4 linked regions of the Saccharomyces cerevisiae S288C genome follow. The protein of the gene in region 1 binds, or shares a complex with, the protein of each later gene. Each region holds a gene or a part of one and is shown in the gene's direction. Other genes may lie near its edges. The genes, in order: POP7, RPP1, POP5 and POP8.

Region 1 (2,993 bases):
TATTCTTTCTTAAATGAACCACTAGTGCTTCATTATGTGCCCTTTATACATTACCTCTATATTCAATCTTCTATTATAAAAATGATAATTATTTCTACATAAGCCGTTATAAGAATTTAATGAAAATTATGAAATAACATACACAAAGTGCACATGATCTTATAAAGTTTTACTTGTCCTATGTTTCAAAGTATGAGAAAATTCTTCATATCATGATAATGTTAGGCAACCAACTATATATGCAGTTTAGAGGCTTAAAGCAATACTATTACAAATGGAAGAGGCGTCGTTTCCATTTTCTTGACCTGGTAAAACTTTCCAAAGAACTGTATTGTCCAATTTCTTTCCATGCTGAATCTGAATATATCCAATCAGTTCCGTCCCAATTATCATTGATCCAATGCCAATTATTGGGTAATTCTTCTTCACCAAGTCCATCTGGGGGCAAACAACTCCTCATGGTTAAAGTTCCATCAGTGTTTTTAATTTCTATGCAGTAGTTTTGTCTTTCGTACGGCAGTAATTTTGTACTCCAATTTTTATTTTGATACCACCTTCTTTGATTTTCGTATACTTCAATTTCTAGTATTTTAAGGTCTTCATTACCAAAGTTATCTTTTTGCTCATTAAGTAGAAGCTGTAGAATATGAATGTGGTCATCACCCTTCTTGTCCCGAAGTAGTTTAGGCAATACCTCTACCAGTGGCACCGTGATTGCACGTCCTTGAGATAAAGGAATAATTTGTTCCATCTTTAAGTGTTTTGGTAAGAAACTCGAAATTTTAAAACTTTCAATCCCCAAATAATAGAAATTCCTAACAGCAGTAAACCTCCAAAGTAGCCTTAAGGTAGCTTGAAAACTACTCGTATTGTATATCAAGCCGGTAATAATAAAAAATCTAGTATAAGTTCCCGGTGATATGTATCTCATGATAATAATTTGAAAAATTGTACCGAATAAGAATAATCTGCAAAACAACCTCTTGCCAGAACACTCCTTATTGACGCCATCAAATGAAAGCTTTAATTTTTTCCAAACATTCAGCTCGTTTCTCAGTACTTCCAGTTTATCCAACACAGACTCTAGTAGCACGACAATTTCATCCAATGTAGGAGGTTCCGTGTCTCTTAACGAAGCTATCAATGAAACAATATAATACATGAATGATAAGAATAGAAATGCCCCGCTTATAATGCCTAACCATAGTCTCAAAATCTTTGTAAATGGCAGAAAATGGCTAGCCTCTGTTTCAACGGGGATAAAAAAACTTATGGTCAGCCATATGCTCGTTAGATAAATGAATGTTAAACATTTATCGTCGGACAGCCACATTATATTCGCTAAGGCATTGTCGAATATTAGTAGTAGTGGATATGCGTGAAACAGAGTGCTGGAAATCATTGGAGGTGTAATTTGGATAAGAGAGGGCTTTTGCCCATGATTATGTATAAATTTCGCCTTAATTTTTTTATTTTCAGTTTGTACTTTGGTTTTAGAATTTGTGTCCATTTCTTTCCTTGAAATTAGCAAAATGATGTCCACTGAACTAAATTAAGATCAATGAAAGAAAAGAGAAAGTATGAAGTAGTTTCGAGTGATTGCACCTTCTTCATCAATTCTGTTTACCCTTGCAGTTGGTGTTCCAGTAATTCTTGGAAATAAGCATAAAAGGGTATTTGTTTCGGGGATAATTTCTTTACTTCCCCACCAGGCTGTTGAATTGAATATGAAAATGGTATGACAACAATAATGTCTAAAATTCCCAAATCAATTTGGTAAAAATCTGTCCAGCTCAATATGGTTGAATAATCATGAGAAGTACATCAATAGTCTTCTCATGTCATTTCGAAAAAATGTTTTTTCTTCATTTTTTTCCTGCGATTGTTTGACCATTTGTTTAATTTCACTCTCTGTAAAGAGCTACTTAACTATTCAGAAATAAGCAATAAGATTGACGGTCAAAGAAGAAAAGAGAACTCTGCACCCAGGATGGCACTCAAAAAGAATACACACAACAAATCTACCAAACGAGTAACGAAACACCCATCTTTGAAAACTCTAACGCATAAGCAAATACACACAACAATTTTCGTTAAGTCTACAACACCATACGTTAGTGCACTGAAAAGAATAAATAAGTTTCTCGATAGCGTTCATAAGCAAGGATCATCCTATGTTGCGGTTTTGGGTATGGGTAAAGCTGTAGAAAAGACACTGGCATTAGGTTGTCATTTTCAAGATCAGAAGAACAAGAAAATAGAGGTTTACACTAAAACTATAGAAGTTCTTGATGAAGTAATAACTGAAGGCCAAGCTGATATCGACATGGAAAGTGATGTTGAAGATGACGATAAAGAAACCCAACTAAAGAAAAGGGCTGTAAGCGGTGTAGAATTGCGTATTTATGTTTAATATGTCATACTTTTAGCGCTCATTGTTATTGTATACTATTTATAGCTAACAGTTTATTATTAGATTTCCTCTAATAAGCGTTATACCAGTGTAGTAAGTTTATCACTTCAGCTATGTGTCATTTTTTTTTTTTTTTTTTGAGGCCTTATATGAAAATAAGCTTTGAAGAAAGTGATACTGGAATTATTCAAACCAAGAAAAGTTTTTAGAATTACAAGAATACCGTAGCACTTGAAGGAAAGAGGACAGCATATCCACTTGATAAACATGGTATCAGAGGATAAGATTGAGCAATGGAAAGCCACAAAAGTCATTGGTATAATTGGTCTGGGTGATATGGGCCTATTATACGCTAATAAATTTACAGATGCTGGATGGGGTGTTATATGTTGTGATAGGGAAGAATATTATGATGAACTGAAAGAAAAATATGCCTCAGCTAAATTCGAACTGGTGAAAAATGGTCATTTGGTATCCAGGCAAAGCGACTATATTATCTATAGTGTTGAAGCATCCAATATTAGTAAGATCGTCGCAACGTATGGACCATCTTCTAAGGTTGGAACAATTGTTGGGGGTC
Region 2 (2,967 bases), on another chromosome or scaffold:
AAAGGCTTATCGTGCCATTCAGCTTAATACAAATATATTAAAAAAACAAGATACTTTATACTCACCTTTGTATGTTACGATCGATAGGAGAAATCGATAATATACGTATACGATAAAGTCTGTACAATATGACTGCACCACACAGAAGTACTATTCATATTCTTGGGTTGGGTGCCATGGGTACCGTTTTGGCAGTTGACCTTTTAAGATTTACCAATGCCCTAGTTGTGCCCTTATTTAGATCACAAGAAAGACTTGCACAATTTCAGAAGACAAATGGGAACAACATTTCGATTCGCAAACTTTATTTGGAAGGCTCGCCAATATTTTCTTATCCAGTGGAGAAATGCGAATGCCCTGAAACTTTCTCTAAAAAACCTATTGACAACTTAGTCGTCACTACAAAGACTTACCAAACCAAAGAAGCACTAGCTCCTTATTTGCCTTATATTAATAAAAATACAAACTTAATTTTGATTCAGAATGGACTGGGCGTTTTAGAACTATTGAGAGAAGAAATCTTTACAGATTCAAAAAACAGACCACATTTATTTCAGGGTGTCATTTCTCATGGCGTTTATCAGGATAAAGCAGGAGTTTTCAATCATGCTGGGTGGGCTGGTATGAAAATTGCCAAATTGCCTTGGACTGAGGAAGAAATGATTCAAAAAAAATCCGTAGTCGAGGACGATGCAGCCAATAACTCATTAGTAAAATTATTAACAGAACCAAAATTTGCCAAGGAATTTGGAATAGAACATTCCACTTATCAAGAAATGCTCTTTGGTCAATTATTTAAATTTTTGGTTAATGCATGCATGAATCCAGTTACGGCTATTCTAGATTGTGTCAATGGTGAGATGAAGGCCAGTTGCGGTCCAGTTTTCACATCTATTATTGACGAGTGTTTACAAATATTGAGAGTTGCTTATAGGCCATTGTTTCAATACCACGAAAAATACAGCGGTAATGAAGAATACCCAGAAATGGATGTCAATGCAGTACTGACAACCGATAACATGGTCTCCGAAGTCACTAGAATTGGCTGTGACATCAATTCTAGGAACAGTAGTTCAATGAGACAAGACACTTTGTTCTTAAGAGACATTGAAATTGAGTATATCAATGGCTATGTCGTCAAATTGGCTGATAACTTAAATCTAGACCCAAACTGCTGCAAGGTTAATAAAACTATCGGAGAATTGGCCACTATGAGATTAGCATTGAACAGGTCGAGAAGTATCAATGGTGACTGGAGAAAGGACTGAAAATGCGCGGATATCAGCCAGAACATATACATTTATAAATACTGATATATATACACTCTTAATGCTTTATTCGAGCGAACCTTAACAGTCTGAAGGCAGATTAATTTGTCAAGTGCCTCTCTTTTGTTACTACTACCAGAAAACATGAAAAATGTATGTGCGATGCCCAGAATTTTACCTCGCATAAATGAAAAAATTTCATTTTACCAGTAGAAAATACTTAACCTAAACAGACACAAAAAACAAAAGTGAAAGCATTATAGAACCGAGAATGCTGGTAGATTTGAATGTACCGTGGCCACAGAACAGCTATGCAGACAAAGTTACTTCTCAGGCGGTCAACAATTTAATAAAAACGTTATCCACATTGCATATGTTGGGATATACACACATCGCCATAAATTTTACAGTAAACCACAGCGAGAAATTCCCCAACGATGTTAAGCTGTTAAATCCTATCGATATCAAGAGAAGGTTTGGAGAATTGATGGATCGAACAGGGCTAAAATTATACAGCAGGATCACGCTAATTATCGACGATCCATCGAAGGGACAGTCTCTTTCCAAGATAAGCCAGGCCTTTGATATTGTAGCAGCATTGCCAATCAGTGAAAAGGGCCTTACTTTATCAACTACCAATCTGGATATTGACTTGTTGACCTTTCAGTACGGGTCGCGCCTGCCTACTTTCCTTAAGCATAAAAGCATATGCAGCTGTGTGAACAGAGGAGTAAAACTTGAAATTGTTTATGGCTATGCTTTGCGTGACGTACAAGCTCGGAGGCAGTTCGTATCCAATGTAAGAAGCGTCATCAGGAGTTCGAGGTCCAGAGGCATTGTTATCGGCAGTGGTGCCATGTCACCACTTGAGTGCCGCAACATATTAGGAGTAACAAGTCTAATCAAGAATTTAGGTCTTCCGAGCGATAGGTGTTCGAAGGCCATGGGAGACCTAGCTTCACTCGTCCTCCTAAATGGCCGCTTAAGGAATAAGAGCCACAAACAGACCATTGTTACCGGTGGTGGTAGCGGAAACGGCGATGACGTGGTCAACGATGTTCAAGGCATCGACGACGTCCAGACCATCAAGGTAGTGAAAAGGAGTATGGATGCTGAACAATTAGGCCATGCTTCCAAAAGACACAAGCCTTAAAACGATACGCTAACCTATAACATATAATGTATAAATGATAATTAAATACGTACCCGGGTAGTAGACATCGCTATTATCATCACAATCCACGAATCGCGACGCGAATTCGCGAAAAGACAACAACAATAAAGGAAAAAAAAAACAAAGAAATTTTTCGACGATTTCCATAGAGAAGGAAAACAACGAATAGACAAAAAAATTTGGGGATCCAAGGCATATTCTGTTACATTGTACCTGTAGGATTTACTGAGAGCTGAAACCATTGAAAACTATTCTGCAATTAATTATCTTCGTACGGACTATCACTACTTTTTTTTAAGAAAGACTTATTTCTATTGTTTATTGTTTATAATTCACTCTGAATACTCGCTTATTAATTGTGTGATAAATTCTAAAGGATGACTGAAGGAAAGAGGCTGCAACAGATGGAGCTTCCTCAAATGAAATCCATTTGGATTGACGAGGATCAGGAAATGGAAAAATTGTATGGATTCCAAGTAAGGCAACGATTCATGAATGGACCTAGTACGGATTCCGATGAAGACG
Region 3 (2,905 bases), on another chromosome or scaffold:
GGTAACCTTAGAGTTTGAGCGAGAACTAGTTCAGCAGGGTGTAGCTCGTTCCTCAGCGGGTCTGTGGACAGGTCCATTGGAGACCCCTTCCACTCGATCTTGAGTGACTTGTTACTGTCTGTAGGAAGCGTAGATAAGGGCGGAGAGTAATCTGGTAATTTTTTCCATGAGACGTTTGGTATATATTGAGGAGCATCATGAATCGCCTCAATGGATGCAATGTTAGTGTGAGGAGTGGATGCAGAGGGTGAGAACTTCTTGGCGCGATGTGGACTGGTAGTCATCGTTCTTCTTTGTGGTGAGTATACCTTGCGTTTCCGTGGTATCCATTCAGTGTCGGATTCAAACTTTCCTAGATTGTTATTGTAGAGAGCCTGTTTCCTCATATTATATCTTGCTTGTCTATTCAAATTCGGAGATGCTAACGGGGAAGGTAATCTAGAAGAAGAGGAAGGCAGAGGAGGAGGAGTCATATCATCATTGTATTTGGAATATTTATGTCTAGCATTATAGGCCAGATTGTTGTACCGGTTGATAATGTTCTTAGAATATGGTTGGGCCAAATTGCTGAAAATTTTGTATTGAGACAGAAACCCGTAGGTGGCGTAGCGGTACCTTTTTCTTGATAACCCATTGGGCCATACAGGCTTCACGAACAGCACATTCTCTACAGCGCCTTTAGGCGTAGATCCCACTAGCACTGAAGAGGCCATGCGGGGTGAGCCATTGTGGCTAATTTTCGACTCCAGCTTGGGCGACAAAGGTGGCGATGGTATTATATGTTCATCAACCAAGGAGTCAATGCTGCCAGAAAAGCATCCATTGCCATTATTTTGTGAGTTCTGGTTAATTCTTACGTCGTACGAGCGCCCATAGGGTGAATTATTGCTATAATCACTCATGTTTAAACCGTTTTTATTACTATCGTTATTGTTGTTACTTGCTTTCAAATTCTGATTCAGACGTCTGAAAATGGACTGCGAATCATCCTTACCAATGTAATTCATATTTAATTGAGACTTTTCAGATTCAGGAGAATATAATCCCATGTTTCCCCTATAAATGTTACGATGCGCGAATATCCTGTTTATCGATGCCCAGTGTATGAGCCATAACGGGGATGTTATGAACCATGTGGCTACTTTTATAAGCGGTTCTCTTAGGAAGAAGGGGGTTCTTGATAGACCCCTGCACCTCATCTAGCGGAGGTGCACGGATGTACCAACAGTTTTAGTGAACATTATTCACTAAAGAAGCATTGGGCATACTCAGAGCCAATGGCAAGCTCGTTTACCAGTTCAAATATGTCGTTTCATTATCTGTATGACTGTCGTAACTTTGAATCGATCTAATGTGTTGACCCTGTCTCAGGCTCACCCATGGCGGCGCCTGCACCTGTGGGTGAAGGAAGAAAGACGATGTTTGTGAGGGAACTGAATTGGGTTGAAGTTCATATCCTAAACAAACACTTCACCAGCCATGGATGCATGCCTTGTCTTTTCGCAGTTGGTGGCATGAAAATATATATCACCCACCAAACCCTCTTACTCTTTTCTTACCAAGTAACTCCAGTAAGTGCTCGTTTTTTTCTTCTTCCATTCAAACCTGCTTAAAAACCTCGACAAACGAGCCCCCAACGTACTACCACAGCAACCACTCTGGTTTTTCTATCTTGTTGTCTTTAATTGCCTCCTGACTTTGTTTTGTTTTGTTCTTGCTTAGCGCTCTTGAAAAATATTTTACTTTTCACTATCAGATTAATGTGATAGCAATAGTTAGTGCAACAAAGAAACAAGTCGATAAATGGTACGTTTAAAAAGTAGATATATCCTTTTTGAAATTATATTCCCACCTACAGACACCAACGTTGAGGAATCTGTGTCGAAAGCAGACATCTTGCTTTCGCATCACAGAGCATCGCCTGCGGATGTGTCCATAAAGTCGATACTCCAAGAGATACGACGCTCGCTGTCGTTGAATCTGGGCGACTATGGGTCTGCAAAATGTAACTCTCTCTTGCAGTTGAAATACTTTTCAAATAAGACGTCTACGGGGATAATCCGATGCCATCGAGAGGATTGCGACCTTGTTATCATGGCATTGATGTTGATGTCGAAAATTGGCGACGTCGATGGACTGATCGTGAACCCCGTCAAGGTAAGTGGGACCATCAAGAAAATAGAGCAGTTTGCTATGAGAAGGAATTCTAAAATTCTGAACATAATCAAGTGTAGTCAATCATCACACCTCAGCGATAATGACTTTATTATCAATGATTTCAAGAAAATTGGAAGGGAAAACGAAAACGAAAACGAGGACGATTAGAATATATTAATATATAGATGTACACGTATATGCAGTAGTTTTATTTTTTTATCTATAATACAACTCAAGCACAAGAATGCTTTGTTTTCCTAGTGCTCATCCTGGGCCTAGGCGCCATAGTTATCCGATTTATCATCGGATTCAGCTTTAGTAAACTGAATGGGGCCGTGAGAACCACTGGCACCTTCACTCTTAACATTGACCGCTTCGTCCAGCTTTTCGTAGTTGGTCTTGTATATGCTTTCAATATCTTGTTGGACGAACAGTGGGTTGTCATAAACCTGGTCTTCATGCCTTTTGGCGGAGGCATTTGCCCCTCTTGTGAAAAATCTTGAATCGTACTGCAGATCCGGTTGTTCTGAACGCTTTGCTGCGCCCAGAATTATCTTTTCGGATACGTCTCTTCCTTGAGAGTACGCCAGCTCTTTTAGTCTGGCCACTGTGCTCGTTTGCTTTTTGGGCTTAACTATTGCTCCCGTCTGCGGAGTCCCGTTGTGGTATCTGGCTCGTTGGCTCAATTCTTTCAATTTAGATTCTTTAGCAAGCATTTCCTGTTCCATAGCAAGCCGCTTCAATTCCA
Region 4 (2,570 bases), 390 kb from region 1:
TTCCTGAAAACTCAGAAACTGATTCTATTTCCTATTCTACCGATTTTGGTAAAACATGGAAAGATTATAAATTCTGCGCTGATAAGGTTTTAGTAAAGGATATAACCACTGTTCCCAGGGATTCTGCTTTGAGATTTTTGCTGTTTGGAGAGGCAGCAGATATTGGAGGCAGCTCATTTAGAACGTACACAATTGATTTTAGAAACATCTTCGAAAGACAATGTGATTTCGACATCACTGGTAAGGAAAGCGCAGATTATAAATACTCTCCTCTGGGTTCCAAAAGCAATTGCCTATTTGGTCACCAAACCGAGTTTTTACGTAAAACCGATGAAAATTGTTTTATTGGGAATATTCCACTTTCTGAATTTTCAAGAAATATCAAAAACTGTTCTTGTACAAGACAAGATTTCGAGTGTGATTACAACTTTTACAAAGCTAACGATGGTACTTGTAAATTAGTCAAAGGACTAAGCCCAGCAAATGCTGCAGACGTTTGTAAAAAAGAGCCAGATTTAATCGAATATTTTGAATCGTCAGGCTACAGAAAGATCCCTCTATCAACCTGTGAGGGTGGCCTGAAATTGGATGCTCCCTCATCACCACATGCTTGCCCAGGAAAAGAAAAAGAATTCAAGGAAAAGTACTCAGTAAGTGCCGGTCCCTTTGCATTTATTTTCATTTCAATTCTTTTAATAATTTTCTTTGCCGCATGGTTTGTATATGACAGAGGTATCAGAAGAAATGGGGGATTTGCAAGGTTTGGAGAAATTAGGCTAGGTGACGATGGTTTAATAGAAAACAATAATACTGACAGAGTTGTCAATAACATTGTGAAATCAGGATTTTACGTTTTCTCAAATATCGGGTCTCTTTTACAGCACACAAAAACTAATATAGCGCATGCTATCTCCAAAATTAGAGGAAGGTTTGGAAACAGAACAGGTCCAAGCTACTCATCCCTGATCCATGATCAATTTTTGGATGAAGCAGATGACCTGCTTGCTGGCCACGATGAAGACGCCAATGACTTATCCAGTTTCATGGATCAGGGTAGTAATTTTGAAATCGAAGAAGATGATGTTCCAACACTTGAAGAAGAGCATACATCATATACAGATCAACCTACGACCACCGATGTTCCAGATACATTACCAGAAGGAAATGAGGAAAACATCGACAGGCCTGATTCTACAGCGCCATCTAACGAAAACCAGTAGAGAGATTACTTTACATAGAGTAGATAATTCCATATACTTTTCATAAACAAAAACGAGCAGATCCTTTAGACAGAATATCAAGTTCTTTCACAAGCCAAAGAAACTTGGCATGATCAGTACTGGTGCAATTCAAATAACTGCAAGTACTGAATCTCCATCTTCAAAGCAGAACCGTAATAATGCGTACAAGGAAGCGGGTGGGATATATCATATGTTACGGGAAAGTGGTTGTTTGACTGAAGATCATCGAGAACGTCATAACTTCAATACATAAGTCATCGCGTAATTTTACAAGCTTTACTGTTCAGCTTTATAGGATAATCAGAATAAGAAAAGGCAGATAAATAGTTTGATAAATGGCCAGTTGTGATGGGGAAAAAGACTTTTAGAGAATGGCAATATTTCAAGTTATCAATGTATGTATATTTTTGACTTTTTGAGTCTCAACTACCGAAGAGAAATAAACTACTAACGTACTTTAATATTTATAGTACTTCATTCGATCAAGATGTGGACGATGCACATGCTATTGATCAAATGACATGGAGGCAATGGTTAAATAACGCATTGAAACGTAGTTATGGTATTTTTGGTGAAGGTGTAGAATATTCATTCCTGCATGTTGACGATAAGCTGGCTTACATCAGAGTAAATCATGCGGATAAAGATACATTTTCTTCGTCCATCAGTACATACATATCTACTGATGAACTCGTCGGTTCACCATTAACAGTGTCAATTCTACAAGAATCTTCCAGTTTGAGACTTCTGGAGGTTACTGACGATGACCGCCTATGGCTGAAAAAAGTAATGGAAGAAGAAGAACAAGACTGTAAATGTATATAGAATATCAGTTTATTATTTAAAAAAACTTGGGCATAGAAGAAAGTGTTTTATTCTCCCAAAATATCAGCTGACGTTTTCATATTTAAACCCACTGAAAAAACCCACAAGATGATTCTGTATTATTTGAATCACCCCGAGATCTCTTGCAAATCCAGAACTTTCTACCTGGATTGGCCGAAGTTTTCGATGTTTTCAGCATGGATTCCTCCCCATGCCTGCACAGGGGAGGCTTTCCAAAGACATCCTTGAAATTCAACTTTGGCGTGGAGATTCTTTTTTTAGCTTGCTGTGGAATTTCAGAGGATTCTTTAATCCTGTCATCTTTTTCTCCATTTACCTTCTGGAAAAATGAGTCGAGCGATTTGTTTTTGATGTTGCTGTTTTTTTTGGTATTCATGACTTTTGATACACAATATTTTTGTTTATTAGATTCTTTATTCGTATCCTTTTTGGCAAACATCTCTAAAACATTATGGTTTCTTAAATTATATTTGTACCTTGCTT

Evidence for each region.
Region 2: POP7 (region 1) and RPP1 share a complex: the UniProt entries of both Saccharomyces cerevisiae proteins name them as parts of the nuclear RNase P and RNase MRP complex.
Region 3: POP7 (region 1) and POP5 share a complex: the UniProt entries of both Saccharomyces cerevisiae proteins name them as parts of the nuclear RNase P and RNase MRP complex.
Region 4: POP7 (region 1) and POP8 share a complex: the UniProt entries of both Saccharomyces cerevisiae proteins name them as parts of the nuclear RNase P and RNase MRP complex.

What each region holds. Positions count from the first base shown.
Region 1 is NC_001134.8:570,888-573,880, reverse strand, and holds POP7 (ribonuclease P/MRP protein subunit POP7), read left to right. Parts: upstream 1-1,990; coding exon 1,991-2,413; downstream 2,414-2,993. Other genes in the region: PEX32 (Pex32p), read right to left, coding at 269-1,510; TYR1 (prephenate dehydrogenase (NADP(+))), read left to right, coding at 2,681-2,993. UniProt on the Saccharomyces cerevisiae protein: Component of ribonuclease P, a protein complex that generates mature tRNA molecules by cleaving their 5'-ends. Also a component of RNase MRP, which cleaves pre-rRNA sequences.
Region 2 is NC_001140.6:222,331-225,297, reverse strand, and holds RPP1 (RNA-binding RNA processing protein RPP1), read left to right. Parts: upstream 1-1,539; coding exon 1,540-2,421; downstream 2,422-2,967. Other genes in the region: 2-dehydropantoate 2-reductase PAN5, read left to right, coding at 129-1,268; GIC1 (Gic1p), read left to right, coding at 2,820-2,967. UniProt on the Saccharomyces cerevisiae protein: Component of ribonuclease P, a protein complex that generates mature tRNA molecules by cleaving their 5'-ends. Also a component of RNase MRP, which cleaves pre-rRNA sequences.
Region 3 is NC_001133.9:80,903-83,807, forward strand, and holds POP5 (RNA-binding protein POP5), read left to right. Parts: upstream 1-1,803; coding exon 1,804-2,325; downstream 2,326-2,905. Other genes in the region: FUN19 (Fun19p), read right to left, coding at 1-1,049; mRNA splicing protein PRP45, read right to left, coding at 2,433-2,905. UniProt on the Saccharomyces cerevisiae protein: Component of ribonuclease P, a protein complex that generates mature tRNA molecules by cleaving their 5'-ends. Also a component of RNase MRP, which cleaves pre-rRNA sequences.
Region 4 is NC_001134.8:185,494-188,063, reverse strand, and holds POP8 (ribonuclease P), read left to right. Parts: upstream 1-1,589; coding exon 1,590-1,636; intron 1,637-1,711; coding exon 1,712-2,066; downstream 2,067-2,570. Other genes in the region: PEP1 (type I sorting receptor), read left to right, coding at 1-1,220; DNA-(apurinic or apyrimidinic site) lyase APN2, read right to left, coding at 2,149-2,570. UniProt on the Saccharomyces cerevisiae protein: Component of ribonuclease P, a protein complex that generates mature tRNA molecules by cleaving their 5'-ends. Also a component of RNase MRP, which cleaves pre-rRNA sequences.